4 linked regions of the Diceros bicornis minor genome follow. The protein of the gene in region 4 purifies or fractionates together with the protein of the main gene of each other region. This does not show direct contact. Links are inferred from orthologs where the notes say so. Each region holds a gene or a part of one and is shown on either strand. Other genes may lie near its edges. The genes, in order: CAMKV, AMPD2, PDPK1 and SDC2.

What was found.
Region 1: the proteins of SDC2 (region 4) and CAMKV purify together in Homo sapiens (affinity purification with mass spectrometry; 3 studies listed by BioGRID and IntAct, counting the BioPlex papers as one, with this or other methods). This does not show direct contact. The link is inferred for Diceros bicornis minor from reciprocal best matches to the Homo sapiens genes SDC2 and CAMKV.
Region 2: the proteins of SDC2 (region 4) and AMPD2 purify together in Homo sapiens (co-immunoprecipitation; 3 studies listed by BioGRID and IntAct, counting the BioPlex papers as one, with this or other methods). This does not show direct contact. The link is inferred for Diceros bicornis minor from reciprocal best matches to the Homo sapiens genes SDC2 and AMPD2.
Region 3: the proteins of SDC2 (region 4) and PDPK1 purify together in Homo sapiens (affinity purification with mass spectrometry; 4 studies listed by BioGRID and IntAct, counting the BioPlex papers as one, with this or other methods). This does not show direct contact. The link is inferred for Diceros bicornis minor from reciprocal best matches to the Homo sapiens genes SDC2 and PDPK1.

The regions. Positions count from the first base shown.
Region 1 is NC_080741.1:50,982,762-50,990,572, reverse strand, and holds the start of CAMKV (caM kinase-like vesicle-associated protein), read left to right. Parts: upstream 1-4,778; 5' UTR 4,779-4,915; intron 4,916-7,811. Other genes in the region: uncharacterized protein LOC131411027, read left to right, coding at 1-1,346. UniProt on the Homo sapiens protein: Does not appear to have detectable kinase activity.
Region 2 is NC_080743.1:42,649,651-42,656,742, reverse strand, and holds the start of AMPD2 (AMP deaminase 2), read right to left. Parts: upstream 3,029-7,092; 5' UTR 2,821-3,028; coding exon of another isoform or gene 2,756-2,820; coding exon 2,665-2,755; intron 1-2,664. UniProt on the Homo sapiens protein: AMP deaminase plays a critical role in energy metabolism. Catalyzes the deamination of AMP to IMP and plays an important role in the purine nucleotide cycle.
Region 3 is NC_080765.1:45,881,435-45,888,765, reverse strand, and holds the start of PDPK1 (3-phosphoinositide-dependent protein kinase 1), read left to right. Parts: upstream 1-4,284; 5' UTR 4,285-4,338; coding exon of another isoform or gene 4,339-4,362; intron 4,363-5,092; 5' UTR 5,093-5,643; coding exon 5,644-5,679; intron 5,680-5,687; exon of another isoform or gene 5,688-6,403; intron 6,404-7,331. UniProt on the Homo sapiens protein: Serine/threonine kinase which acts as a master kinase, phosphorylating and activating a subgroup of the AGC family of protein kinases.
Region 4 is NC_080760.1:15,623,784-15,631,353, forward strand, and holds the start of SDC2 (syndecan-2), read left to right. Parts: upstream 1-4,523; 5' UTR 4,524-4,941; coding exon 4,942-5,001; intron 5,002-7,570. UniProt on the Homo sapiens protein: Cell surface proteoglycan which regulates dendritic arbor morphogenesis.

The sequences.
Region 1 (7,811 bases), on a different chromosome or scaffold from region 4:
ATCAGCTCTCATCCTGGCAACCTGGCAGCTCCCCCAGGGCCCAGGAGGAGCAGCTTTCCCCGATCACATTCACCACAACTGGCACTGGCTGCAAGGTCTTGCCCATGGCCATGGTGGGCACTGAGCCCCAAGGTCCCCAGTTCAAGCTGACAGCTGAGGACGTTACACAGTCGTCAGTGGTCGCACACCTTGGCCTGTTACACGGGGCCTGCTATGAGCTGGTGTCCACCACAGATGCTCTGCCAGTACGGTCCCCAGTGCTCTGCCGCCACTCATTGGGCCCCTACCAGGACATGGCGGCCGTGGTGATCGACACAGGCACAGGCTTCACCAAATGTGGACTGGCTGGAGAGGACCACATCCTCAGTGTGGTGCCCTCACGTGTCCAGCTGCTGCAGCACCCAGTCCAGGGTCAGCCCAGGTATGCAGTGCCCAAGAACCGAGAGGGCTCCTACTCGGTGCTTAATCGAGGAGTGGTCTCCGACTGGGATGCACTAGAGGTGCTATGGCAGCACCTGTTCCATTGCAGGCTAGGCGTACAGCCTGAGGAGCTGGCTGTGCTTGTGGCTGACTCACCCATCTCACCACGCACCAACCGAGAAAAGGTGGCTGAAATACTCTTCGAGCGTTTCCATGTGCCAGCCATGCAGACAGTGCATCAGGCCCTGCTGGCGCTCTATGCTTATGGGCGCACCACTGGGCTGGTCCTGGGCAGTGGCCATGGCACCTCCTACGTGGCGCCCATCCTCACTGGGGATCTGGCCCCACTTGACACCTACCGGCTTGATGTGGCCGGTGCTGACCTCACTGAATACCTAGCTCAGCTATTGCTGGCAGGTGGCCACTCACCGCCCAAGGCAGTGCTGGTCAACCAGATTAAAGAGGCCTGCTGCTACGTGGCCATGGATATGACAGCTGAGATGGCCCGCACTCAGGCCCAGGCCCGGGTGGAATTCGTGCTTCCAGACAAGCAGGTCATCTCGCTGGGCTCTGAGCGCTTCTGCTGCCCTGAGGCCCTCTTCCAGCCGGATCTGCTAGGCCTCAACCAGCAGGGCCTCCCACAACTAGCCCTCCAAAGCATCAGCCGGCTGGAGGCCAAGCAGCAGGAGCAGCTGCTGGCCAATGTGGTGCTGGACGGTGGCAGCACCCTGGTAAGTGGCTTTCCTGAGCGCCTGAGACAGGAGCTGGGCCCCTGTGCCACTGTGCTGGGCTCTCCCCACCGTGCTGTTGCCGCTTGGCTGGGAGGCTCCATCATGGCGTCCCGGGACTCCTTCCAGAGCCTGTGGCTCAGCCGCCGTGAGTACGAGGAGGAGGGCCCATGGGCCATCTACAAATACCATCTGTGAACACATAAAAGTTCTGGTTCTGCTTACTTTGAACACTGTGGCATGTTTTAGGCATAGGGTAGTGCGGGGAAGGGCAGAGGTCCAGGTATGGGGTCAGGGATGGGGACCTTGGCACTCCCAAGGCAAACCCTGCCTCTGCACACTACAACTCCATGGGCCCTGGCAATCCTATCCTTTCCAGAGAGCCCCAAGCCCCTTGGCTGGCATTGGCTCTGGTCTAGCCTGACCTTTACTGCAACTCAAGGGCGAACACAGAGAGTGGCTGCTGTGGGTTTTGCCCCGTTGCCCTGGTGACAAGTGCAATTACCCTTGATTGCCAGCTGGTTGCCATGGCAATTTCAAACATAATGTAATAACCCACATAGCCTGGAGTGAGTCATGAAGGGGGAACAGCCCCCTCCTCTAGCTCCAGAGGAGAAGATTGCTTGCCCTCCTCCATCTTGGTCCCTCTACAGGGGGCTAAGGCCAGCAACATGGACAACAGCCAAAAAATTCCAAAGATGGCTGGGGGCCTGCAGCATTTGTTGCCCCCAAAGGAGGGTCCCTGTCAGTCTGGACTTCTTGGGGGAGCTGGCCTAGTAATGCAGGTACCTCCTAAAGTCAACTTTGGCTGGAGCTCTCTGCTGGGTTGGCAGGGGCTTCCGTTGGCCAGTCAGAATAGGAAGGTATGAGAGTGCTGGCCTTTGGTGCCCTGGGGCAGGAAGTTGGGGTAGGGGGGCAAATAAGTCCTAGATCCTGGATGGGAGGTACAACTTGAGCTGGGGGATGATGCCCTGGCCTGCTTTGTAGGCTCTGTGGATACAGAAGCTCACAACTTATCCTGCCTCTCTGACTGTCTAGTTCTGGAGAGAGTCAGAACTGTCAACTTTGGGCTCCCTTCTCTTCCTCAGCCTCTCAAGTCAGGCAGCCCCTGCCCACAGGGTGGCCAGGGTACAGCCCTCCTCAGAAGATCCTCATGGAGGCTACCAGGCAATGTCAATGCCAACTGCCCCTGTCTTGTTCCAAACTCTTCCATGCGCTAAAGGGCCTCCTGCTCTCCCTCTGGCCAGGAAGGTGGCTAGAAGCCATGGCCTCTGACCTTGTTTGGCTCTGAATAGTGGGGGTAGAAATTAAGCTCCGTGTCAGCCCAGTCCATGGTGTGGAAGAGCTAAGAGGATGGCATTCAGCTGGTGTTGCTACTTTCTGCCCAGTGGGCAGCTGGAGACTGAAGCCAAGACAGTAAAGCCCTACCCTGCCTGTGCCTCTCTGGTTGGGGGCTGAAGGACAAGCCATAACCCCGTCCCAACCCTGGGTCCTCGTCTTTAGGTTACCCTCTCCACAAAGGGCAAAGACCTGCCCACCCCCACACATGCCTGAAAGTGAGGGGCTCCCCTAGGTGGACAGACTAAAACAGCCAACGATGTAGGGTCATCACAGCCCCTTTCCAGCCCTGGGCATGGTTCAATCTCTTCCCATGTCCTGCTCTCACACTGCAATTCAGCCTCCATAATCCTGAGGCCTGTGTCAGGCGAGAAGGAGACCGGTGGCTCCAGGGACCAATGGCTCCAGGGACTAGCTACAGTGTCTATGCGCATGTGTGAGCGAGCATGCTTGGGTACACACAGAATGCAGACACACATGCCCCTGGGCACCACAATACACACTGTGCTGTTGTCATCTCCTTCAGCATAACAGCGCACACACACATAGACACATTCACACGTGTGAACACACAACTCTGCCACGTGCTCTCACCCACAGGCACACGGAGTGTGCACAGGACCAAGAAGAGGTAGAGCATTGCCAGCAGCAGGCAGGGCTCTAGTGAGCCGCCTCTTCCCTTGCCTCTAAATCCCCCATTTCAGCTTCTCCTTGGCCCAGCTGCTCCACGCCTGGATAGCCATGACCTTTAGGAAAGACAGAAAACGTGTGTGACATGTGTGGGGTCAGCAAGCCATGGCTCAGCTGGACCATACAACTCAGAGAACCATTGTTTCAAGGACAGTGGACAGACAGCAGAAACGACTGAGTGCCAGACCATTCATTCATTCTGCAGACATGAACTGAGCATACTGAGATGAGACACAGGCTCTGCCCTGCAGATGCCCAGCTTACCAGGAGATTCCTACCCAGTGGTAGAGTTGGTGCCATGACTGAGACCACCCAGAGTCCAGGGAACCTAGAGTTGGCACCAGTCTGGACTGGAAGAGGTGATTCAAAGCCAGGGGAGGATGTAAATGGCTCCTTGACACCCCCTCTGGAGGAAGATATTGAGGGGCCTTGTTTGAGCAGTCATTTCCCAGGATAGCCTTCCAGCCCCAGCGCCAACTTCCTCACTTGGGCAGTCAGTTCTGTCAGTAACCATGGGGAGCCACGCAGGGGAGACTCACTCAATGTGGCCAAGGGTTTGGAGATGACTCTACACAGGATGGGGTCAGAAGGCTCACTGGGAGGGTTTGGTGGGGCGGAGTCCAGCTCCTCGCACCAAGAAGCTTAAGTCTGGCCTTCAGATACTGGCCTTAGGGCTTGTGACAAGGGCAGAGCAAGCATTGAGCCCATATGCCTCCCTGACAGGGGACAGAGCAATGGCCAAGGACTTCCTTCAGAGCTTCTTCCTGGCAGTTCTCAGCCCCCTCCAGTGAGGGACCAGGTCTGGTAGGCCACCTTGGTGCTGCAGTTCTCCTGTATCCCCATATCCCAGGCCAGGCCACCGATGGTGATGCTGCTCTTGAAGTGTTTGAAGGTGATTAAACCGGGAAGAAAGCAGAGTCCACACCATGTCATAGGTGACTTTTACAGTTTGGGAAATTCAGTGCCACACAGGAGGAGGTAGACTCTGCTAGCTGCCTGGCTGGCACCTAGGGATGGGAAAGGCTTTGGCCTGCAGGAGTGGAGGGTGGAGTGGGTTTTGAAGACTCTGCCACCATGGTCTGGGGCCCTCACTGACCACTTGCACATGCACACACACAACCACGTGTTTACTTACTCCTAGCTAAGGGATGCCAGTCTAGTGCCGCTTGCCCTAGTGACTGCCCACGTGGTTCTTTTAAGTAGCTTCTGCCCTTTGGGTCAGGTTTTGGGAGCTGGGCAGAGAGCTGGTCCCGCGGGGACTACTACTTGCCAAGAGACTGCTCTTTAGCTCCAGGACTCAGGCTTTCCCCACACCTCCTACTCCCCACCCCCTACAATGGCCATAGGAAGGCCCCTCCGGCCCCTGTTGCCCGGTCAGTCTGAGGGCGTAAGGGAGCCTTTGAGTGCCTGGCCGGGCCGATCAGGCCAGTGCTCACCGACACACCTTCCACCTCTCCTCCGCCCACCTTCGAGCGGGATTCCAGCCCCAGGCTCCACCAGGGGCGGGGCGGGGCCGGCTGAGGGAGGCCCCGCCCCCAGCCCGCCCCCGGCCCGGGGTGCGAATCCGGTGCCGATGAGCGGCGGGAGATGCTGGAGGTTCGCGAGCCGAAGCGGCTGCAGCTGGCGCCGCGTCTGCCCCGCGTGCCCGGAGTGGATTCTGCCCGCCGCCCCCGGAGCCCTCGGCGCCCCACTGAACCCGCGATCGATCGCTTCCTCCCTGTTACCGACCGGCGCTGCAGGTGCGGGGCGGGCCGGGCCGGGGGCGGGTGCCCCTTGAAGGCACGTTTTGGGGGTCTTGGGGGGATTGGGTCTCTGGCTCAAGGTTCGGGTCGCCGAGTGCCGCGAGGGCTCGGGGTCTCGGCGGGGGCCGAGCACGCGTGCTATGTAGATCCGGGGGTCGGCGGGCGGGGTTGGGCTAAAGTTCCTCGTCACCCCGGACCACTCGGTGGTCCCAGAGAAAGCCTCTGAGACTCAAGTCCAGGCGAATCTCCCCTCCCTGCCCGCCCCCCCCCCTCGCTTTCTCGCTGGGCTCCTAATTGTGAAAATATTAACCCTCGAACATTCGTGGTACCCCATGGGGGTAGGGGCTGAGAGCTGAGCCGTCCCTCCTGACTCCCAGAGCCGCCTCCAGCCCCTCCCAACTGCCCCCGGGCCCCCTCCCTCCCTCTTGGCAGTCACTAATTTCCATGACAACGGAGAGTTCTTTATGGGCGACAACCTGAAGGGGGCTGGGCGGGGCTGCCGCGGGGTGGGGGAGGAGGCTCCAAGCCCCTGGGGACCAGCGGCCCCCTAGCCAAGATCCAGCTTCCAAGCCGTAATGTGGGGGCCAGCTGGGGGTCCAGGGCACCGACCCAACGCTGCGCGATGTGGGTGGGGGACCCACATGTTTCTGCTGGGAGGTGCGGGGCTTGGTGCTCACACGTGTGCCTCCCGCATGTGTGTTGCTGTGCCAGCGGGGGCGAGTCAGCAGCACTGGAGAAGGGGGTCAGGGTGGCACCACGGTGGGGAGCAAAGCCCTTGGCTGGGGGTGGTGGACAATGAACAGAGTTTCTGCCCTCCCCAGCCTGCAGTGTCTACCAGAGACCCTGGGTTCTCCGAGCCCCCCATAGCTCCGCCAAACTGCTTTTGTCTGCACCCCTTAGGCAAAGCATACTCCACCAGATTCCCTCCTAGGGAGCAGGGCTCTCTGTCCCTCACCAAGAGCTCAGTCTGCAGCAGTCCCGCCTGGCACCCTCCTCCAAAGCCTAGGCTTTGAGCTCCGTAGGACCACCTGTGGAGAGCCCCCCACTCCCACCCCCAGTTGATTCCTGTCAGCTTTAGCCACTTGCTGGGCCCCAGTTTTCTCAACTGGGAAATGAGTGTCTCCACTCCTCTCAGTGTCAGCCTGGGCCCTGGGGTGGAGCAGAGGTCTCTCACCCTTTCTTTTACAGCATTTGGTGTGGACTCCCCAGGTGCCATAGGCTGCCGTTCCCCTATCTGCTGCTGGCCCTCCTCTCCAGCCTGTGCCCTGGCCACCACTGTCTAGCAGTCCTTGCCCTGGCCGGGAGAAGGCTACAGAGTCCATGATCTCTGTCCAGGGAAACTGAGGCATGGGGGCCAGGTGCTGTGCAGTTGTTATCCTGTTTCTGGGTTGCTTGGGTGCTGTTTCTGGTCCTCCTAACAGGGTCCATTGTTGGGGAGGAGAATGGCAGTGGCAGGGAATGAGGCTGAGCTGCAAGAAGGGCCCTGGGGACCCAAGGCCTAGAGAGGACAGCAGATGGGGGGGTGGGGGGTGTGCACGTGCCTGGGGAGTCTAGGTAGGGCTGGGCCAGCTGAGAGGAGGGGCTGTAAAGGGAAGCGAGGTCTCCAAACTTCATTTCCACAGCACCCCCCCCTCCGCCCCGTGCTTATGCCTGCGACATGTTGGACCTGCATTACCTAAGCTGCCGTGATGACAGGGAGAGGGGCTGAGGAACTGTTCTGGCTGAGGGGACTGCAACAGCGGCCTCTTCCCCAAGGCTACGGCTGTGCCTCTCACACCAAGTCCAGTGCATGTCTGGGGGATACAGGAGGGTTCAGTCTCAGAGGTCCAGGCACCAGGGACAGCTCCTGGCCCAGGTGTTCAGAACACATGGCCATGGAGAGCTTAGGGCTCTGCTGCACACCCTTAGGCCCCTTCAGAACCCCCTGCCCTTCTCCTTCTGTGTCTTTATGCCTGTGTCCCTTTTACTCTGTTGCCTCTTTGCTCCTCTTTCATCGCAGCTTCTGCCTTTGTCTTCCTGTGTCCCTGGCCCTCTCTCTCTTTTCTAAAATCTCTGGGTTTCCCCACCTCTCCTTTCTTGATGGGGACCAGGGTCACAGAACCCATGGGGAAGGAGCCGGGCCAAAGTCTCAGGGAATTCTTGGAGAAGGGATTTGGTCAATGCCTGCCGCCTGCCCCCCCCCCCCCCCCCCCCCCCCGCTGCCCCGTCCCCCTGCCGTTTTAAAAACTTCCATCACCATAGCAACTCTTTACTCTGGGGCCTTCCCCTGCATTTCCTCTCCTACACCCACAGGGAATCAGGGCCCCCAGTGGATTTTCCTTCAGGGGTTCAAAGATTGGGACCCCAGGTGCCTGGAAGTGGCCAGTTGGCTCTTGGCTCTGCCTGAATGCTGAGGCCTGAATGCTGAACTTGCTGGAGGTAGCACTCTACTGTGTGCCCACCCCCAAGACTGGAGAGGCCCTCCTCTTCATGCTCCCTCATTAGATAGGAGAGAGTCCCCGCAGCAGGAACGATGGACTGTGATGTAACCAGAGCCTGAGGCCCAGCCAGGGTAACCCCCTGCCCAGTTCCCTGAAGCAGTTGGATGGTGGGCTAGAAGCTTGGTTCTGCTTCCTGACACTAGACCCTGAGAGTGAGGTCTCTATTTCTCCCAGTCCTGTAGGTGAGGCCTCAGCTATGGGCCAGGCAGGGCTTGGGCCTATGTATGTCTGTTGCAGTGGGAAACCCAGCCCCATTCTCGGAGAGAAGAGAGGATGGAAGGGGAGGGGGTGCCTGCAGCCTGGTGTTCATAGCTGCCACTAAATCGGGAGGTGTTGCCCACAGTTGTTGGGAGATAGCTGGAGGCCTCCTGGGCCCCTCGTGACCTCCCTAGATTTACTGCAAGTTCTGGAGC
Region 2 (7,092 bases), on a different chromosome or scaffold from region 4:
AAGTCCTGTCTATAATGGGGTGATAAGCAGGTCGTGCCCTGCGTAGCCACAGCTGCCACAGAGATATGGCTCCACAAGTGTCCTGTAGAATACCACAATCTGCGATTATGAAACTTTCAGGACTCTCCAAACACTTCCCACGTGTAGTCCCACCTATCAGGGAGGGTGGGAGGTTCTCAGGCCCAGCACAGCCAAGGCAACTGAACAATGAAGGGCAGAGAACAGAACTTGGCAGGGATGGAGATGGGGGAATGCTATCTCTTACTTGGAAGAGGGCAGAGCAGGAAGAAGAAGGAAGGATGGGCACCTGCTCCACCCCAAAGGGGTAAGACAGAGCCTAAGGTCCTTGCTTACCCAAGAACCCTGATCCTACACAACTCCTCCCCACTTCTAACCCCCTCCAGCGAAGGCCAACCACAGACCCCCAGGGCTGGTCTGTATCGGGTCAGTGCAAGCAAGCCATAGGCCCTAATCTCAACCCCCTCTCCTAGCAGGGTGGCCCAGGGCCTTGAGGGAGATCAAAAATTGGCTACCCTGAAACATATCTCTTTACCTTGATTATTTTCTCTGACGGACATTTGACCTCCCTCAAATTGCCTAAATAATTTAACATAGAAGGCCTGTTTCAGGAAGGACTTACTATCATATGATGGCTGTAATATAATGTAAAATAGATGTTACAATAGGAAAGACACTAACAAGCCCATCTTATCAAAAATTCTGTCTCTCCCAGGCCACATTCTCTAGGTAGCCCTGCAAAGAGTTGCCAGACAAACATTTACATTTATAAGGGAACTCTCCATTTGTAAAGGTATCTCCCTTTCTGTATTAGGAAGAGGGGGGGATGGCCTTATCTGTGGACACTCTTATCAGTACGGAAGGAGAGGACTTAAATCTACATACTCTTGATTATTGTGATTTCTGTCTCTCCAGCCACATTCTCTATAGGTGGCCCTGTAAAGAACTGTCTGACAAACATTTATATTTCCCTCTCCATGTGAATTGTCTTCTTCCCCTCTGAAATTCCAAACCACTACCCCCAATAACCTCCTTTGTCTTTAGCTGAAGATAGTATTTAAGATGAGAATCTCTGCCATTTTGTTGAGAAACTCAGTTTCCCTGGTTTCTCCCATGTATACATGTTATTAAACTTGGTATTATTTTCTTCTGCTAATCTGTCTTTTAATTATTTGGCCAGCTATAAGAACCTTAAGGGAAAGGGCGGAGGGGGATTCTCCGTCTTCCCCGACAGCCTCCACAGAAATGCTAGGGTGACCAGGACAGGTTCCAGCAGCCAGAGCCATGCCCCCAGCCTGCTGCACTGGACTGCCAGGGTTCACTGGAGGTGACAGACAAGCAGTAACCTCCACACTCCCTGAGGCCAGGCTGCCTGCTGGTCCCTTCTCCCAGGGTCTGTGCCACAGCACCACACACACACATTCACCCAGGAGGAGTCGACCAAAAGCCAGAGAGGGCTACTCCCCAGCCACTCCCACCAACTCCAAGATTCTTGCCACCCCATCTAGCCTCTTGACCAGGAGCCCCCTCACTCACTGCCAGGACTGCCTCAGTAGGCAGAGAGGTGCCCAACGCTTTGACATACATGTATCAGATGCTCCCACCATGTGACCACCCAAAGGTGTACAGATCTAGCCCCAGGGGACACACCCCCTGGATGGCACAGACCTGGGCACAGGAACACAGACCCTCAGGACAGCACAGACCTCAGGCCAGCACCTTCAATGGCATAAGAAAATACAGGAGGTGGATGATCAGGCTATAGATACAGACAGCTGCTGGCAGGGGGAGACTGGCTTGACCTGGTCACCAAAGCATGGGTGGTCTTTCCTTAGCCACAAGGCCTGGGGGCAGCAGAGGGCAGGCAGATATCCCTCGACAAGCACAGACCCAGGCAGCCGAGACCTCAGGGAGATGGCACAGCCGCACCACGCCGCCTGCTCCAAATGGTGCAGAGATGCCTACCAGAGTGGGAGCCGAACCAAAGGGTGCAGGAGCACACGCAGGCGGGCAGCGGCCCCAGCCTGAGCCCCAGCTCAAGCCCAGCCCAAGGACACCCCACACTTCCCAGGAAGCTCACAAGACAGATCAGGAAGGAGCAATCAGCAAACGATAGATACAGTTGAGCCCCCAGCCCTGGGATGCCAGCAGCCATGAGTGTGCCCTAACATCAGACTCCCCCAACCCCCCACCACTGGCAGCCCCAGTGAGTGGCTTCGAGATCTGGGGTCCTAGAAAGAGGAACTAGCTGCAGGAAGACAGCCTGAGTCTGCCTGGGAAAGGCACAGCCGCCAGCAATTTGGCCAGTCCGCAAACCAGTCAGTCCCACACATCCCCCACTCCATTCACACACACTCCACATGCAAACAGTCTTAGCACATCCACACGCTGACACGTGTGCAAACACACCTCTTGCTGCACCCACACCCACTCGTTAGAGGACAGCATCCCCAACAAAAAAACCTGTCACCCTCCACCCCACCTCCCTCCCAGCACCACCTCCCAAGACAGCTGTCCCTGGGACCGAGGACGAGGGGTAACTCTGCAGAGAGCGTGCAGGAGAAGGGGCGCCCCTGGGGGACCAGTGGCCTGGGCGAGAGGTGGTGGGACAGAGCCAGTGCCCGAGGCCAGGACGCACACACTCACCTGGTACTGCAGCGGCGGCCTGCAGGCTGGCCCGCTTCTTAAAGGGATATTTGGCCTTGGATTTGCCGGGGCCAGATGGATAGGATGCCATGGCTCGGGCCGCGGAGACGGCGGGGGTAGTCTGAGCCGCACCAGCGGGGGCCGGCTCTGCCACATCCAACCCCTTCCTCCGCCCCGCCCCCAGCGGGAGTGACTGATGCAGGAAGCAGAGGCCCCGCAGGCGGAAGAGGCCCTGGCCACGATTTCTGATGTTGTCTAGGCAACTCGGAGGAGGGGGGCCTCCATATCCGCCCCTTATCGCTCCCCTCCCTTCCTCGGTCCCTGGAGAGTGACTGACGGAAGCTAGGCCAGGGGAGTGGACGTGAGAAAACAAGATGGGGAAGGGCTAGCCCCTGGCACTCCACTAACCCCCTCGGGTGCCCTCGCCCCTTACCAGGGCTCCGGGGCAAAGGAGTTAAAGTCCAGGCTAGCTGGTCCAGCCAGCCGGGAGAAAAAAAGAATAAAAAATAGAAATCCAGCACGAGCTCCCCCAAGCACAGAACACACTCCTCTCAGGGCAGGCGTACTCCGTAAAAACCCAGCCCCTCTGTGGCAGAGCCCTCTTTTTTCCTTCTCTATCTGATCCCCAGTCCCTGGGGTAGCCCAGATCTGGGAAGATGGGGTAGAACTGAGAATCCTAGCCCAGTAGGGAGGAGCCTGTCTTGGGAAAATTCCACTCTCCGGCAGAAGCTACCTTCTAGGAAGGCAGGGAGGCCAGGAGGCAAGGGCTTCTCCGGGGGTTTGGGAAGGAGACCTCAGCGTCTTGTGACGTTTCCCTCGGTCTTTCCACACTCAGGCAGTGCTCTCCCAGAGCCTCCCCAGGAAGAGCTGGCCGCCTTCCCTAGGTCTGCTGGCTGTGCCGAGACCCCCTCCCTCTTGTCACCCTGGCCACTGTACTTGTCTGCTCCAGAGACAACTCCCGCAATGCACGCGAACACACTCACCTGAGGCCATGCTGCCTGCGCCCCGAGGGGGACCGGGGAGGCTGTCCGCCACGGTCCGCACAGCCGGGAAGCCGGGGTCGCGAGGGAGGGGAGGAGGGCTGGGGCCCCTGCCCTGGCCCTGAGATGGGGAAAGTAAGGCAGTCTTTCAAAAGGGCCAGCTGGCGGGAGGCGGACCCCCGCCGACCTCGGCCGTTGCCCTGGTCTCGGAGATCCGGGAGTCCCGACCCCCAGCCCCGCACTGGAGAGGCGGGCCGGCCACGTGCTCCGCAGAGAGCGGGAGCCGGAACTCGTCTGGGCTTCTCTCCACGCTCTCCGGGTATTCGGGGCCGGACTCCCGTAGCTGGACTGTGGGGCAGTCACGCAACAGGTGCGAGCCCATCCAGACCTCGCCGCCGCCGCCGCGCGTCTCTGCGGCCGCCGGCCCCTCCAAGTCCGAGGCCCCGCCCTGGCCGGCCGGCCCCGCCCCCGCGTTTCCCTTCTTCCCGGCGCCACAGGGACAGCCGCCCCTCCGCGGTCCGCTGGGCCGAGTCTTGGGCAAGTTCTGTACGTCAGCTTCTTCATCAGTAAAATGGAATGGGGTAATCGCGTATCTCACTCAGAGGCGCGATTGTGAGGATTAAACGTTAAGCACCTTTGCCCCGTGCCTGGCACCAAGTCAGCGCCTAATAAGATAGAGCTATTATTACTGTCCCAGGATTCACTTTTAGCCCAAGTCCACCCCAGCATTCTCACTTTCCGTCGTCTGTGTTCTTCTGGCAGGCGTAGATAGGCAGGGTGTGTCCTGCAATTCTGTCTAACCCTTCCCACATTTATTTCTGTATTTGTTGGTTAAAAGCTTAGGCTCTGTATTCTATTCCTGAATTCAGTTCAATTCAGACTCCTCCACCCACTTCCTGACTAACGTTGGGAAAGTTACTTAACTTCTCTGCTTCGATTTCGTCTGTAACGTGAGTGTAAGAGACCCTGCTTTATGTGGTGGTGGTTAGACTTAGATGCGCTAATATAAGTTGAGGGCTTAGAACAGTGCCTGGCCTGTACTTACTACTCAGTTCTCATGTACTGGTCTTGCTATGTCCTCGCCCTTGGTCCCCTATTGACACGCTCACAGGTTGATTCACCTTGCAGCCTGTAAAGAAGTGGAGTTGGCTGCTTTGGGGACTGCAGACAACTCACCCAACCAGACCCCCACTCCCAACTGGCAGAGAATCCCACCTAAAGAGAACTTGTGAGGGCAAGTCCCTAAGACTTCACTAAACATAATTAAGTGTATTAGCAACATTTAGTCTTTTTCTTTTCTCTCCACCTTGTGGGAGCCCTTTGCCCCACACACCCAGTTGTACTAATGCTGTTTGTCTAGCTCCTCCCTGTTCTCACCACCCCCATAGTCAAATTCCTTCCCAAACTCTGCCTCCTCCACTCCTCCCCAGGCTGGATTCTGGACCCTGAACCCTATTCTCTACCTGCATCTGGTGCCACCTCCATTGATCCGTGCCTGCTGTTCCTCACCCTGGACAAACTCAAAAAAACATGGCCTCCATAAACATGGGGGGAAAGTTCACCTCACAAAGAATCAAAAACTAAAAAGTGGAGATACCATGTTTACCCATTAAAATAGCAAAGATTAAGGGAAAAAAGTCCTAATGCAGGCAAGGGTGTAGTTAGTGAGGTGGGACACACACATATACTAGTGGTGGGCATAAACATTGACATAATCTTTCTGAAAGCTGTTTAATAATATATAATCAAGAGTCTTAAAAAGGGTCATATTATTTGACCCAGTAATTCCACTTTCAGGAAATTGTTCTTCTAAAAAGAGCTGCCAGAAAAATATGCACAGTTGTCCATCACTGCAATGTTTATCACATAGAAAGGCTGGAAACGTAAAGATCCAATAATAAGGGAACGTTTAAATTATGTCAGATACGTACAATGAAATATAGCCATTAAAAATTGTTCTTGGAGGGGGCCGGCCTGGTGGCGCAAGCGGTCCGGGGTTCGCAGGTTCGGATCTCAGGGGTTGGCCGGTTGGGATCCCGGGGGCGCACAGGCACACTGCTTGGCAGGCCATGTTGTGGCAGCGTCCAGTGTAAAGTGGAGGAAGATGGGCATGGATGTTGGCCCAGCGCCAGTCTTCCTCAGCAAAAAAGGAGGAGGATTGGCAGATGTTAGCACAGGGCTGATCTCCTCACAAAAAAAAAAAAAGAAAAAAAAAAATTGTTCTTGGAGAATTTCTTAATGAGGTGGAAATGTTTACAGCGTAAAGTTAGGAGAAAAAAATGGATGCAAAAATCTGTACATACATTATGGCCCTAATTATGTGACACACATGCATAGAAAAAAACACATCAAAAAGTTTACAAATGATTTCTGTGAGTGATGAAATTATGGTTATATTTATTTTTTTATACTTATCTTCATTTTAAAAATTATCTACAATGCATATCCATTACTTTTATAATCAAGGGAATAGAAAACAACAAGTCTGTAAAAATCTGTAAGTGCCCCCACACCCCACCTTCAACAGACTGTCCTGGGTCTTAACCTCAGACTAAATTGGTCTTGGGGCCCTTAGTAATTTTGAGGCCATTGGGCTCTCAACAATGAATAATAAAATAAATCTCAAAATTAAAAACCAAGCACCAGGTAACCATGTAGAACATCATCTATATTCTGATAAAATGCAAATTTTGACATAGTTTTAAGGGGTGATATCTTGCATTGGGCCAGGTCTCTTTAGGATTCCCCCTCAATCCAGACCTACCTACTTAACCAGCCCATAGGTGTCAATCCTGCCCTCGACCCTACCCAAGCAAACCAGTTCACTAGTCCTTTCACGCTCCTTCCTCGTTCCATCTGTGACACACGCTTCACCCTGTAACTCTCCCCTATTTCCGGGCCATTTGGCACACTGCTGTCCTTGCTGGGAAGTCTGCCCTGATTACAGCCAGGCATCCATCTCCCCACCCACACACCACCAGCAAGAATCTCAGCGGGGTTTCCTTGTCTATGCAGAACAGAGTTTGGGAAATGAAGGAGTGAGTCATCCCCTAAGGCCTCCAGCTTTTTTCATGTTGGGGCCTTAATATTGTCTTTGAGCCCCTGGGACCTTCCCTCGCTCTAAACATAGCTTCCTCCTCTCCTAGCCTATTCACCAGATAGTTCCTTCAATGGCCCTTCCTGAACCCCGGGCTGCCACTGACGATGCACTCGTTAATTCTCTGAATAACTGCTTCTCTTCACTTCTGGCCTGCAGCTCACTCGTCAGCCTCCCACCTACGCCAGACCCCTCTCTGCAGATAGCGGATTTGAGAGAGAACAACTGCAGCCTCAAAAAGATCCTTGCCCAGGACAATTTCCTGAACCATACCCCCTGCCTAGATCTTTCTAGAACCAAGCTGTTCAGCTCGTTTCTCAGCTTGTCCCAGCAGCCAGCCTCCCTATCCCA
Region 3 (7,331 bases), on a different chromosome or scaffold from region 4:
ACTAAAAGTCCAGGAAAATTACCTTTTATTTTATTTTTTATTGAGGTGATAATAGTTTATAACATTATGCAATTTCACATGTACATTATCATTTGTCAGTCACTATATACATGTGCCCCTTTACCCCTTATGCCCCCCCCCCCCCCCCCCCGTCAACACCCTTCCCCTCTGGTAACCACTAATCTGTTCTCTTTGTCCGTGTGTTAGTTTATCTTCCACATATGAGTGAAATCATGCAGTGTTTGTCTTTCTCTGGCTTATTTCGCTTAACGTAATACTCTCAAGGTCCATTCATGTTGTTGTGAATGGGACGATTTTGTCTTTTTTTATGGCTGGGTAGTATTCCATTGTATATATACACACCACATCTTCTTTATCCAAACATCAGTCAATGAGCACTTGGGTTGCTTCCACATCTTGGCTATTGTGAATAATGCTGCAATGAACATAAGGGTGCATAAGTCTATTTGAATTGTTAATTTCAAGTTCTTTGGATAAATACCCAGTAGTGGGATATCTGGGTTGTGTGATATTTCTATTAATTTTTTGAGAAGTCTCTGTTTTCCATAGTGGCTGTACCAGTTTGCATTCCCACGAGCAGTGTATGAGGGTTCCCTTTTCTCCACATCCTCTCCAACATTTGTTATTTTTTGTCTTGGTGATTATAGCCATTCTAACGGCTGTAAGGTGATATCAATGTAGTTTTGATTTGCATTTCCCTGATAATTAGTGATGTTGAACATCTTTTCATGTGCCTGTTGGCCATCTGATATCTTCTTTGGAAAAATGTCTGTTCATATCCTCTGCTAATTTTTTGATTGGGTTGTTTGTTTTTTTGTTGTTGAGTTGTGTGAGTTCTTTATATATTTTGGAGATTAACGCCTTGTCCGATATATGATTTGTGAATATTTTCTTCCAGTTGGTGGGTTGTCTTTTCATTTTGTTCCTGGTTTCCTTTGCCTTGCAGAAGCTCTTTAGTCTGATGAAATCCCACTTGTTTATTTTTTCTTTTGTTTCCCTTGCCTGGGTAGATATGGTATTCGAAAAGATCCTTCTAAGACTGATGTCATGGTGTGTGCTGCCTATATTTTCTTCTAGGAGTTTTATGGTTTCAGGTCTTACCTTCAAGTCTTTGATCCATTTTGAGTTAATTTTCGTGTATGGTGAAAGATAATGGTCTACTCTCATTCTTTTGCATGTGGCTGTCCAGTTTTCCCAACACCTCTGTCAGCTTCTTGATTCAGTTTTTTTTCATGTGATGAAATCCATTAGAGAATCTATCATTTTCAGTATTTTTCTGGAGCCCTCTGAAGCCTGCTCCGGGTAGTCTGTGTGCTCCTTGTTCTTATCCTGGCATTTCTCCTCGTTATCCGGGCACTTCTGAGTCCCCACTTACCTGATTTCCTTTCTCCCCCCCAGCACTTATTACCTTCTAACATCCCGTAATGTTTGCTTATTTATTATGCTTGCCGTCTCCGCCTCACCCCCCCGCCAGAGTTCCACAAGAGCAGAGATTTGTGTTTTTTTCACGATGAATTGCTGATGTCTAGCACGGCGCTTCGCATGGAGGGGGCCTCAATGTATATTTGTCAAATGGACAAATCTGGGGACTTGCCTTCATCACCCTCTGTGTATTCTGTTTCTTCCTGTTTGCTGGATCTCATGTCTTCATCTTTCTTGGTTTTCTTCCTCATGTGGTGGAGCACATCCTTCAGTAACTTTCTGAGAAAGGGTGCTTGTGAGATATATATTTTTAGACTCTATAGCTATGTATATATTTACAGTTGTATTTAGTGTACAGTCTGGCAAATTTCTTCACATGTAAAATGGTAATAAATATTGGGTATCTCATAAGGTTGTGATGAGAATTAAGTAAGATAAATCATATAGACTGGCTAGCATTCTCTGAGGACAAGTTATTATTACTTTTTGAAGACTAAGTATAAAATAAAGGTTGTTAAGAGGTAGTTGAGTGCAGTGGCCAAGAACAAGGCATTGGTGTTGGTCAGGGCTAGTTTTGAGTCCTGTGCTCTGTGACCTAGTAACTCTATGACGGAGAGTAGGCAAGTCCCTGAAGCCTCAGTTTCCTCATGTGAAAAATGGAAATGGTCATGGTACCTACTGTTCATGGGGCTCTTGTGCAGTGAAATCAGATCTACTGCTCTCAATGCGTAGTAGGGGTTATCGATGTAGGATAATGTTCCCAATGTTCCTGAATGTTGGAGGTGGCTTGGTATGGTAGCCAGAGCTGGTATCTACCTTGATTTTTGTGTCTTGCAAGGGTGAGAGTGTCTGGAGAGGGCAGGCAGTTGGCAATTTGTAGCGTGTATCAGAAGTCCTGAGAAGGATACCTGAACTTTGACCCAGGAATTCCATCTGCTAAGAATTTATCCTAAGGTTTGGCAATAGATGTCAGCTCAGGGCCAGTCTTAGCAAAAAGAGGAGGATTGGCATGGATGTTAGCTCAGGGCTGATCTTCATCACACGCACACATACATACACAAAGAATTTATCCTAAGGAAATAAGTAAGGGTGTGCCTGGATTTAAGTGCAGGGCCTTGTTCCTGAGGAAAAAGTCTGGGAACCACTTCAGCGTCAGTTAGGAGGGAGCTTGAACAATACGTGGATCTATAAACTATAGGCGTCCTCCAGTGGAGTTCTCTGCAGCCCTCACAACGGAGGAAGGTGGCAGTCAGATATCAGGAGAGCTGTACAGGATGCAGGACCATACGTTGTTAAGTGAAAAACGGGGTATCAGAACAGCATGAGCTCTTCTGGGGGATATGGGTTACACGGGGCTTTTTATTGTTTTTTAAGGTAAGTAAGTGTACAGAGGGCTGGAAGCCTGGACGAACTGTCCAGGCTGTGTAGTCTAATGGTCAAAGCACAGTGTCTGGCATGTGGGTGTCAGGATCCTGGTTCTGGCACTAGAAGACCTAGGACAAGTTACAGAACTGTGCTGTGCCTCAGCTTCCTCATCTGAAAAGTGGGGCAACAATAGGAGAGATGCTTGTTTAGAGTGAGATTAGTCATGCAAGTTCCTTGCTGAGAGTAAGCACTGAGTGAATGTTAGTGGCCTCACTGCTATTGGATGGCTAATACTGGCCAGTGGGATTATGGATTCATTTATCTTATTGTTACTTCTCTATATTGCCTAAATTATTTTTTAAAATAATTTCTTTTGGAAATAGAAAAAACATTTAAACATATGCAAACCTTCAGGTAACAAAGATTCTAATTTTGTTTAAAACAACATCATCATAGCACAACAACGTGAATGTACTTAATGCCATTGAACTGTACACTAAAATGGTTAAGGTGTATATTTTACCACAATTTAAAAAACCAACAATAACATCATCAACCACAACTACCAAGAAATTCAACATCATTATCATCATCATCAACAACTACAAAAAAAAATTTATGGGCAAAGAAGAGGGTTCTGAAAGTGTCCCTGGGACTGTTAGCAGTGATGAGATGGGATTGTTTTCTGCCGTATGAATATGAGTTTAGGGGCCTGCCAGGTGGCGCACGCGGTTAAGTGCGCGCGCTCCGCTTCGGCAGCCTGGAGTTAGCCGGTTCGGATCCCCGGCGCGCACCGACGCGCTGCTTGTAGAGCCATGCTGTGGCGACGTCCCATGTAATAGTAGAGGAGGATGGGCACAGATGTTAGCTCAGGGCCAATCTTCCTCAGAAAAAAGAGGAGGATTGGCATCAGATGTTAGCTCAGTGCTGATTTTCCTCACATACACAAAAAATGACTTTAGAGCCTACATTTTCTTCCGTGAGCACGTCTTAGTTTTGTAACTGGTAAAGTTGCGTGTCTCGTGTTTACACAGAGCCCCGCTCTGGAATCCGAGCCACCAGTTAGAGCCCAGCCCCGCCGCTGCCTCTGGCGTGACCTCGGCCGGCCCGGCCCCTGCCAGCCTCAGTTTCCCGGCGCGGGAGCCGGGATGACAGCTCGCCCCTCCCCCGCCCGGCCCCGCCCCACTGCCCCAGGATTGGCTCGTGCGGCCCCCCCCAAAGGCGGGGCCCGGCCGCTCCCGCCTGCCAGGCTCCAACCCGGAAATGCGGCTCGGAGGCGCCTGCGGGCCCTCCCCGGGCCACGGCGGAGCGACGGCGGGCGCGGCCAATGGACGGGGATGGCGACGGCAGTTCGGCGGAAGTCCCGCCTGGCGTCGCGCGGGGGCGGGACGGCGCCGGGGGCGGCGGGCGGCGGGGCGGGCGCAGGATGAGGGCGGCCATTGCTGGGGCTCCGGCGCGGGGAGGAGGACGCTGAGGAGGCGCCGAGCCGTGTAGCGTCGCGGGGGAGGCGCCCGCGCCGACGCGGGGCCCATGGCCAGGACCACCAGCCAGCTGGTGAGTGCGCGGCAGCTGCTCGGGCGCGGCGGCTGCCGGGGGCCCGGCGAGGCGGGGCGGCCCGGGGTCCCCAGGGCCGGGCGGCGCCTCACCTGCGGCCGGGCGGCGGGCCGGGGAGCGCGGGCGCCGTGGGGGCGCCGCTCGGCCGCCGCGGGGAGCCCGGGTGCCGGTGCGGCGGCGCCGGCCCGACGGGGGCGCTGACAGAGCGTGGAGGGCGGGGGAGCGGGGAGGTGTCACTGGCCGTCGCGGTGGAAGTGCTCGGAAAGTTTGTTTTCGGTGTGGTCTGAAGCCGAGCCTCCGGTTCCCTGTGGTTCCGTCCGTGGAGAACCGCCGGGGCCTTCACCGGGAACGGGTCTGCGTGCCTTTGCTGCAGCAGAGCGGGAGCCGCGAGTTCTCGCCCAAGCACCTGATGCTCCGGGCCCCCGAGTTCGCGGCTGGGATGGAGTCTGATACGCTCCCTTCGCGGTTCCTGCGCGGCGGTATTTGCGTACTTCTCTTGCCGGGAGGCCCCGCTCAGGCACGGGCATCAGTGTGGTGGGACGCCCCTGGGAGGCCGGGCTCGAGCCGACCACCGAGGGGCGGGTGAGGTTGACAGCGAGGAGGGGTTTTAAGGGGGAAGGAAAAGGTACTCGTTGGGGTAAAGGTCTTGCTAAGAGCATCGCTAGTGTTTATATGTTTTCTGTTTGTGCTAAAAGTATTCGTAGTGTTTTAATATTTTTCCTCTGTTAAGTTTCAGGGTCGTGGGAAGATGGTTTAGGGAATTATACGTTGTATGCGAGTGTGAAGTAGGTGATGGAAGAATGCCTAGACACTTGCAAAATTTGCTTCAAAAGGCAAATCCCTTAAATGAAGGAAGACCCAAGGAATTTACTTGATCCCTATTTTCCAGCATATGGTTCTGTGGTAGTTCTTAATCTTTGTGAGAGGGTTATGAGCCCGTTTGAGAATCGGATGGAAGGTATGAGTCCTCTCCTGAGAAAAACGCACGATCACACCGAATTTTGTAATTACTTCAGGAGGCTCTTGAACTTTCTGCAGCTGGTCCATGGACTTCAGGTTAAGAACTCTGCTTTGTAGAGTTGGGTGATAATCCGAAGTATAAGAGAAGGAGGACCTGTTCAGTTGAGAAAAATGGTGAAAGGCGAAAGGGATGTCTTTGACTGTTGCAACATGTGTGACTGTATCCTGGGGTGCCTGGACTAACACACAAAAACACAAATTAGGCTGCATGGTGAACCTGAGTGGAGGCTGGGGCTGACAGTAATCGTGCAGGTTTGTAGAATGAACTTTCATACAGTAATGCTGTTGCAAGGCGAGGTGTGTACTTTGACGGTGTCCATGGGAAGAGGAAAAGAGCACATTTTCTCATAGTCTTGGTCGTTCCCCATAACGGATGTTTGATGTCTGGAGTTTTCTTTGCAGAAAGCAGCTTTTTAGTGCAAAAACACTGGAATCCGGTGAGAAAAGATCAGTTAGAGAATAAAGGATAGATCTCTTCTTCAGGAAGTGAGAGGAACTAGCTTTTGTGACTTCATCAGCTAGATTCCCTCACGTGTACAGATGTGAGAATATGCCATATTTCCCATCAATAGCCACAGAGATGCCCCCAATATTGGAATTTTCACCTAAGGACAGATAGATTTGCTTGGTTCAAGGGAATTTGCATCGAGGTTTTTAAGGTGACGCTATATGAGAAGCTGTGTCCCAATTAATTTTCCCATTTCTTTAAGTGTGTATAGCCAACGGGGGGAGCAGTATGAGTTGTGAAGTCTGAAAAGGGCCTAGCCCAGTTTGTTACTAAGGGGGGCCGGGGGCTGTGAGTACCATTTATTGAGCACTTACTTTAAGACAGGCATTTTGTTAGAGAGCTCACATGGTGTTGCTTGACTTCTGTCAACGGTGTTGTGAGGTATGTGTCGCTCCCATTTACAGGTGTGGAAACTGAGGTGCGGAGAGGTTAAGTACCTGCTTGGTAAATAGAGTGGAGTTTGAACCCATTTCTGATCGATGGCAGAGGTCCCGGTGCCACCCTGCCCCTCATGTGAGTAGTGCCCTGAGGGAGGGTCCCCTGGGCAGCTCAGCGCAGCACTGGGACTAAGGTAGTCCTTGGTGCTGCTGCCTAGGACGTCTTCCTGAGGATTTTGCCTGAATGTCCTGACTGTGCTATGCTGGAGGTAGGAGGGACATCTTCACGTGGAAGGACAGCACGCTTATTTATTTCTTTGGGCAGATGGCTGAACTCTGTGACCCCTGGAGCCTATTTCAGCCTCACGCTGTCAGAAAGCAGCTGTTTGGAAAGAGGCTCCTGTTCATCCTTCTTTGAGGGCTGCTGTTCTGAATGGGTGAGGCTTGAAATCCTCCCTTTGGAAAAAAGAACTGTGCAACAATTTTGTTAAAGGTAAAATTGGCAGCTAGGCAGAGTGGCTCCCTGCACACTCTAGGGCGGCTCTGTCTTTTGTAAGGATGGCTGCATCCGTGCGGGAAGGTGGTGGGGAAAGCAGAGGGAAGGTGGTGGGGAAAGCAGAGAACATGGAAAGAAGTGAGTTCTGATTTTCACACTCCCTTTTGGGTAACTCCTCTTCATGTGGTCTTGTGCAGCATGGTGTATTTCTCTCCCCACAACGCCCTTGTGGCAGTTACTGAGCTGAGTCCAGAGCTGACAAGGTGTGCTCCCTGTACTAGTAAGGAGTGGAAGTGTAGGTTTGTTCTACTCCTCTGACATGTGTTTTGTAAGGATCACAGCAGCAGGCTACAGAAACATGGGGCATGAAAAGAGGCCTTGGGGGGCCGGCCCCGTGGCTTAGTGGTTAAGTGCGCGCACTCCGCTACTGGCGGCCCTGGTTTGGATCCTGGGCACACACTGACGCACTGCTTGTCGGGCCATGCTGAGGCAGCATCGCACATACAGCAACTAAGAAAGATGTGCAGCTATGACATACAACTATCTGCTGGGGCTATGGGGAGAAAAA
Region 4 (7,570 bases):
ACTGTAGAGCAGCCTTTTCTGTTTCAGCACACAAGGACCCCTCGCTAGTTTTGGATGACTCCCAGGCCAATGTACAATCGAGTTAGACTCTGAATTCCTTGATGTAAATGATCTACAGGGTGAATATGATTGGCTACTGGCCCACTAATAAATTGCCTCCCCCCACATCCATCCATAATTGTGAGCAAGGAGGTATGGGATCATTTAGTATACAGCATGTAGGGCTCCCCTTCTAGCATATAGTATGTGGGGTGCCATCCTAGAGAGGATGGAACTCTAATAACAGTGAATGAGGTAGGGCTGGCTGCCATTAAAGTAATAGTCTACAGAGTGTACTAACAAGAGTAGTACCATTTTACATAAAATCAGCCAAGATTAGATTTTCCTGTCCAACTGGATATATGCAAATGCAATGCAAATACTTCGAAGATACCTTTATGGAACCTTTCTAAATTCATATATCCAAGTATGGCTCTTAGGAAAATGTTCTTTGATGCCTAAGAATGATATAATTCTATAAACAATGTTTTCTTTAAAATTTCATATCTGATTTTAGGATGAAATTTGTCATGTACCCTGGTCATAGACTTTGTGATTTGAGGACAACTCAATTTTAAAACGTGTTAACTCTAACACCTTTCAAGAAAATTCATGTGCTTACCCAATGAGTACCTGGCACATGGCAAGTGATCCATATATGCTTATTGAATGAAAAAATGTCCAGTTTTACCAGTCTTTCAAGAACCATACCACTCTGTTAGGGAAACAGACAAGAGTGTTTTGCCTACTGTTTTATTCAGGGGATAATTTATGTATTATACAATTCTTTGACTTTCCTGCCTGTGTCCTGCTCCCCAAAATGTGACAATTTTGTTCAACATTAGCACCGAATCAAATCATGAAACTCAAATTAGCCAAATTCCCTGGCAAAGGGTTGACAGAGGCAAATGGAGAGAACAGTGGAAAGACTGAAGCTAAGAAGAGATTTTTTGAATTGCCTGTAGATTTCCGTCATGGCTTCAGCTCACTTGCCATTATTAGCATGGGTAATTAATAGTTGGCTGGCTGGATTTCCTCTTATTCTCCGGTTCTATCATCTTTCAAGTGAATTTAGTCAGGGCTGATCCTACCAAATGGATTTCTAGCCTAGACTCCTGATAACAGTCCAAGGAAGGGCGAGTGGAAGAACAACCGAGAACAACAAAGTGGCATCTTCCTCCCTTTGACGTTTCCCACTCTGACAGCTCACCTTGGGACACGGCACCTGCTTGTCCACAGTTATAATGTGATATCATTAGATGTCATAATGACAGAGTCCAATGTGTCAGCTTAGGTTAAAAAATATGTCGCTAGTAGCTTTCATTTCTATCATTTCATCTGGTTCCCTTTAATTCCTGTTTTTTACATTTCTGCAGCTCAGTCTCCATATTGTTCATTTTTTATATTTTCTCCTGAGGTTCTTGAGGTAGGGTGTTTATTCTTTTAGCAATCAGTGAAGCTATTTGGGAAGTGATTGGTTTTGCTATTTTATTTGCTGTGCCTCTCAAAGCGCAGCCCTTAAATGGAGGACATGACATCACATATGTATTAGGGAGTAGCCTTTAGCTCTAGTAGCATGCTATACTTAATATATTAGATATACTCCACAAAATTCTACTGAATTTTAGTCCTCAGATAAAAAAACAAAATCCCCATTAGCAACACACACAAATAGGCTGCTATAGACTGAATGTTTGTGTCTCCTCCAAAATACATATGTTGAAATCCTAATCTCCAAGGTGATGATGGGGCCTTTGAGAGGTGCTTAGGTCAGGAGAGCAGAGTCCTCATTTAGGGGACTAGTGCCCTTATAAAAGAGGCTCCAGAGACTTCCCTCACCCCTTCCACTACGTGAGGACACAGAGAAAAGACAGTCATCTATGAACTAGGAAGCCGGCTCTCACCGGACATCGAATCTGCTGGCACCTTCATCTTGGACTTCCCAGTGAGAAATAAATTTTTGTTGTTTGTAAGCCACTCAGTCTATTATATTTTTCTTACAGCAGCCCAAAGTGACTAAGACACAGACCTCCGTCATTTCCAAGTTTAGACATGTTCCTCACACCGGCAGACAGCCCCTGGCCCCTACCCTCACCCCCACTCAGCATAGGCAGCTTTTGTGTAGCTAGCTCTTGTGTAGGTGCTTTCACTATTAGTGCTTTTTATACCTTCAGACTATCCTTTTGGCTACACCTGTTAATGCATTTGATCGTAAGATCTTGAATATTTATTTGTTATCATATACCTGATATTGTGTGATTCTCAAAATGGTACCATTCCCTTGTCACATATACCCTCAATGCTGCACGACCGTTTATAAAAAACAAGTCACTGTGAGACTCATAACCGCCGAGAGCCTTGCGGTATGTCTTCAAGGGCACGGACAGATACAGTCCTTCAACACCTGCATCTGCTTATTCATTTTTATCACTGTTTGCCCCAGCCGAACCAGAGAGCAGCCACCATACTTCTTGTTAGGCAGATGCTCCAATAACAGCAATATCTGTGAGAGCCAGCGAATGGGTGCATTTTCCCCTTTTGCTGGAATTCTAATTTCTTTGATGGATTCTTAAGTGTTGGGGGAAAAAGGGCTGTGGCCTTGCCTGAAGGCTGGAGAGCAGACTAGAGGTCTCTTCTGAGGGTAGAGGTGACATTTTATGGCTCTTTGCATTTCTCTCACATTGCTCATTTTTTTGGAACCTCTTTTCATAAGTCTCCCCATCTCATGAAATTCTTCAACCCCCAGAGAATCCATCTTAAAAATACGGCCATAGTTCATTCTTCCAAAAACCAAGCTGGGCCCACATAGACCCACAGGCGCCAGCTCAGTTTCTGTGGAATGGGAAGCATCAGATGATACAACTTCCAGCCTCCTGATCTTTTTCTTCTTTTCTTCCTCCTCTGCTCTCTCTTCTATTTCCCCACATTGTCTTTTTGGCCGCCAGTGCCTTAGATTTGCCCAAAGAGAGCTTGTAGTTGGCACTCAAAAGCAAAGAGCTGGATGTCTCCGACTTTGAGTTGTAACTCTCCAGTTCTCTAAAATGTCTTTCTTTGAGATTTATTACAGTGAAAGGTTACTAAGACATTGTTATTCTCACTTAGAGTACTACTGTATTTTATTCTAATACTAAGTTAAAAATTACCATGGTGTACTATCTACATATCTACATCTATGTATCTTAAAGGCTCACAGCTCTTATGCAGTAGAGATTTGAGTTTTGGATCAAAATTTACTCAAGAACTATTGTGTGTCTTTACATATCAGGAATGAGAATACACAGTGGTGAACAAGACAGAAAGTTCCCTGGTCTCCTGCAGTAGGCATTCTAGGAGCAGAATGGCTCCGTAACTCATTTACTCCATAAGTCAGAGAGAAAAACAGTGTTAGAAACTGGAAGGGAATATGCATTTGTCATCAGCTGTAGTATACCACAGACACAGAATTGAAAAAAAAATTTCATAACAAAATATTTCAGATCAATTACTTCCATTCAGGAAATACATGCTCATTATTTTCTTCAAATTAGAAATCACTTTATTCCTCTTTTCTTTGAAGTTCTCTTAAATCTGTTATTATTCTGGGTCTCTATCCAATTTCTCACCAAATTGCCCTATTTGTAGCTTCCGAATGTTAACACCTCTATGCTGAAATGGAGCCTATAAAATGCCTTAGGGGCTTAAACTGTGTGTGAGGCAGAAATGGTATTTAAGCTCTTAATGAAACTATGAGCTTTGAAAGTGTTGTATTTTGGGTTTACGGGGTTTTCCTCCACTTCCCCTTTTCGGGAGGGTGGGAAATACTCTTAATACACGTTTATTACATTTATTGTCTTCTCTTTTAAAATACAGTTTTCATCAACTGGCGATTTATGAATACATTGCTTGAAGGCATCCGTAAACTTTGTGTGTTTTTCTCCAACTCTCAAAGCAGTTTCTTTCTACTGGTCTAATTCTCGCAGGCAAATATCCAGCTAATTATGTCTCTCGTTGCTTCAACGATCTTTCTCCAGAAAGTGAAAGTGAAGAGAAGAGAATAGAGAAGAAAAGAGCACGGAGGAGGAGAGAGGAAAAGTGGGGAGAGGAGGAAGGGAAAAACGGAGCGAGAAAAGGAAGGCGCCTGGAGCCCCGGAGCATTGATTGCGGACGAGCCGACCTAGAGCGGCCACAGCGCAGAGCCGCCGGCGCCCACTGGTCCCCGGAGCTGCCAATCGGGGCGTAATCCTGTAGGAATTTCTCCCAGGTTTGGCTGGGAGTCACACTGCCGCCTCCTCTCCCCCAGACGCCCGGAGGAGCTCGGAGAAGCAGGCTACGGAGGGAGGGAGGGAGCGGGAGGAGAAGAGGAAGAGGAGGAGGAGGAGGAGGAGGAGGACCCGGGGTGGGAGGCGGCCGCGCGAGAGGAGGAGGGGCGCAGCCGCTGAGCCACCAGCCCCGCTCGGACGCGCTTCCCTCCAGATACTCCGGGAGCTCCAGCCGCGCCGACTGCGCGCCCCCACCGCTCTGCCCCCAAACTTCATCTGCAGCTACATTCCAAGCCATCTAATTTATTCCTCAGAATCAGAAACTGAGCCGCGACACAGGGAAGGAGTCCGCGGAGGAGTAAAACACGAGCAAGAAGAGCTCCAGAGAGCAGCCGCCCGGGAGCGACACCTCAGCGTCGGGAGTGCAGAAACCAACAAGTGAGAAGGAGCCGCGTTCCGGGGCGCAGCCGCGGGCGGCGGGAGCAGGCGCAGGAGGAGCAAGCGAGCGCCCCGAGTCCGGAGCTCGAGCCCCCGAGCCCGAGCTGCGGTCGCTGCAGCTGGTGTGGTCCGGATTTGTCTGCGCGGCTGCGCCTGGCGCTGGGCAAGAGGCTTCGTTTCGCCCTGGTTGCAAGCGTCGGCTGGGAGCAGCCGGTCCCCGGGGAATATGCGGCGCGCTTGGATCCTGTTCACCTTGGGCTTGATGGCCTGCGTGTCGGCGGAGTCGGTGAGTGAGCCAGGCGGGGGACACGCGCGCCGTTTAGGGTGCTCGAGGCCGAGCGGAGTCTGCAGCGCCCTTGGGGAATCAGGGAGCGCCACCTGGGGGAGTCCACCTCCCCACCCCCAGACGCGGCGTTCGGCCCCCGGGATCTGCTGGGACAAACGCACTCGCTCTTCCACCCCTTTTCCCCTTCCCTTCCCGCAGAAAAGCGCCGCTCGCTGGAGTTGCCCCGAAGTCCCCGGGGATGAGGGCGCGAGAATCGCCGTTTTGTCTAACCGCAGAGGCCCCTGAAGTCACTCCCAACTTCTTCACCCTCGGAAGGGTCTTGTTGCCTGGCCCGGGAAGGACCGAGGGAAACGGTGGCCGGAGACGGGAGCCCGGGTAGGGCCTTCGAGGAAAGGGGTGCACCCTGCGCGCTCCCCAAGACCCAGGAGCAACCTGGAAACTTGGGGGTCCCTCCCTCCGCACACCATTCCCCCACGCCAGCTTATAATGGATTGAATGCAAGTGCTGGGGAGATGGGGCCCAGATTTAAGAAACCCGAGAGTGCCCGGAGAGGAAAGTTTGCAAAAGTTCTTTTGTTTGATGTTCCCCGTGGCTGGGGCGAGGTAGCAGACACTACGTGGAAACGCTACTCGCCGAGGCGCAGTCCGCGGTCCCGCGGGGGGTGCGCGGAACGCGACGGAAAATGCTGGGGCGCCGGCCGCTGGAATCCCAGCGCTACGGCGACCCCCTCCTCCTGGAGGCGCGGAGGGCGGCCGCGGGCCCTTAGGGGCAGGAGGACATTTTACTACGGATTGCTCTGGAGTGCAGCATGCGGGGCGAGGCGGGGTGCGTGTGACACTGCGCTTGGCCTCGGGTCGCCTGGCCGCTCGGGGACCGAGGCTTCCAGCCCGCCACCCTCGCCCTCGCGGGCCCAGGCGGGAGTGCATCCGAGGCCCGGAGGAGTCTCTTCTCCGGCGGCGGCCGGCTGCCGGCACCCAGCCTTCCTCCGCGGCCCGGGCTGTGGGAACTTGGTTTCTCCTCCTTTGGGTCCTGTTTGGAGCGTGTTTCCCTACATCGCCCAATGAGCGCCCTCTGAAGGGAACTGCCTCCTGGGCTTCTCCTTGTCGGTGGCGGCCCCTACCTGGGCACCCCGAGCTTTGTCCGGCTGGGTGGAAGCCCCTCACTGGTCAGCCCGCAGCCTCAGTGCCGTCTGGGGCCCCGGTTATGAAGGGCAGCTGTTTCTGTCCCTCCTCGTTCCCCATATCTCCTCCCTTGGCCGCCTGATAACGTCTCCATTTCTAAATAACTGAACTATCTCATTGAAGACACGTCATGTCACCTTAGAGGTGGTTTTGTGAAATTTTCCACCTCGCCTTTCTCCCTTCTCCCTTTATTTTTTGAGTTGATGCGATTTAGGATTGGGAAACCTCTTTGGCACTGAGCAGCAGATGGGTATTTTCATCAGTGTGGGAGCCTCTGTGTGCCGGCACATCCCCAAACGTTACCCGCGATTGGAGAGCACGCAGAATTGTAAACTGGACAGAGTAGATGAGTATTTGGGTGCTTAGGCTGTAAAACAGAACTCCGAGCCTTATCGGTATTTCTCCTCGGCAAATGATCATGTAATCCGTTGGGATTGGTAATCTCCCAGTCAGTTATGAACTTTGGCTCGTTGTACAAAAAAAGGGGGAGATGGTTCTGAAATAATGTTTCAGAAAAACATTATTGCTCATCTTGTTGTAAAGCAGGGCAAAGGGAGAACTCCATCTCAAGGTTTTGAAGAGAAGCCTGCCTAAAAAAGCTGTACAGGAGGTCCTTTTGCTGAGTCCTGTTCAGGGATTTGCTAAGAAATATTACTGTTTGGGGATGCTAGAGAAAGCGTATCTCTATCTTCTGCCTCTTTGGGTTTTTGTGGAAATCCGACAGCGCTCCTTAAGGCAGCTTTTTGGCTGAATTGTACCTGTCCTCCCCGTGACAACTTTCCTCTGAACTCAGTGTCTTGAGGGCTTTAATATTTCTCATTTCCAACCAAAATTGGCTGTTTCCCCCAGTGAGCTGCTTCACTGTGGTAGATACTGTTTTCAGTAATTGGAATATCATCCAAAAAGGTGATTAGATATTTTTAAAATGTCAACTTGGAGACTCGAGCAGAGTCTTTGTTAAGCAATGAGTCAGTCTTTCTCAATAGAAGCTGTTTCAAAGCCCAGGATGTCTAATAGTCCATTTAAGTTACTTTTCAGTCTCTGTTTCATGTATAGCAGCATAAATTTATGCAAAGTTGAAAGACTTAATTTTTCAACATTTAGCCATTATAGTACATTATTTCCAGTACTTCACATTTTAATTTGAAAACTGCAACTGTTTCCTGGGAGTCAGAAATAGTGATTGTCTGAGTTTAAAGCCTCTTTTTAAAAGGAAGAAAGGAAAAATGTCTCCAGTCAGTGAATTCTTGAGTTTTATACTAAGCTCCAGGAAAAAAAAAAGGTTCTCAGGAACTAAGGCTCAAAGCTATCTGTGAAAAGGAACCCGTGGCCCTTCCTTTATGGGCTCTAGAGAGCCGGGAAAGCCTGTTCGTGGTGATGCAGTCATA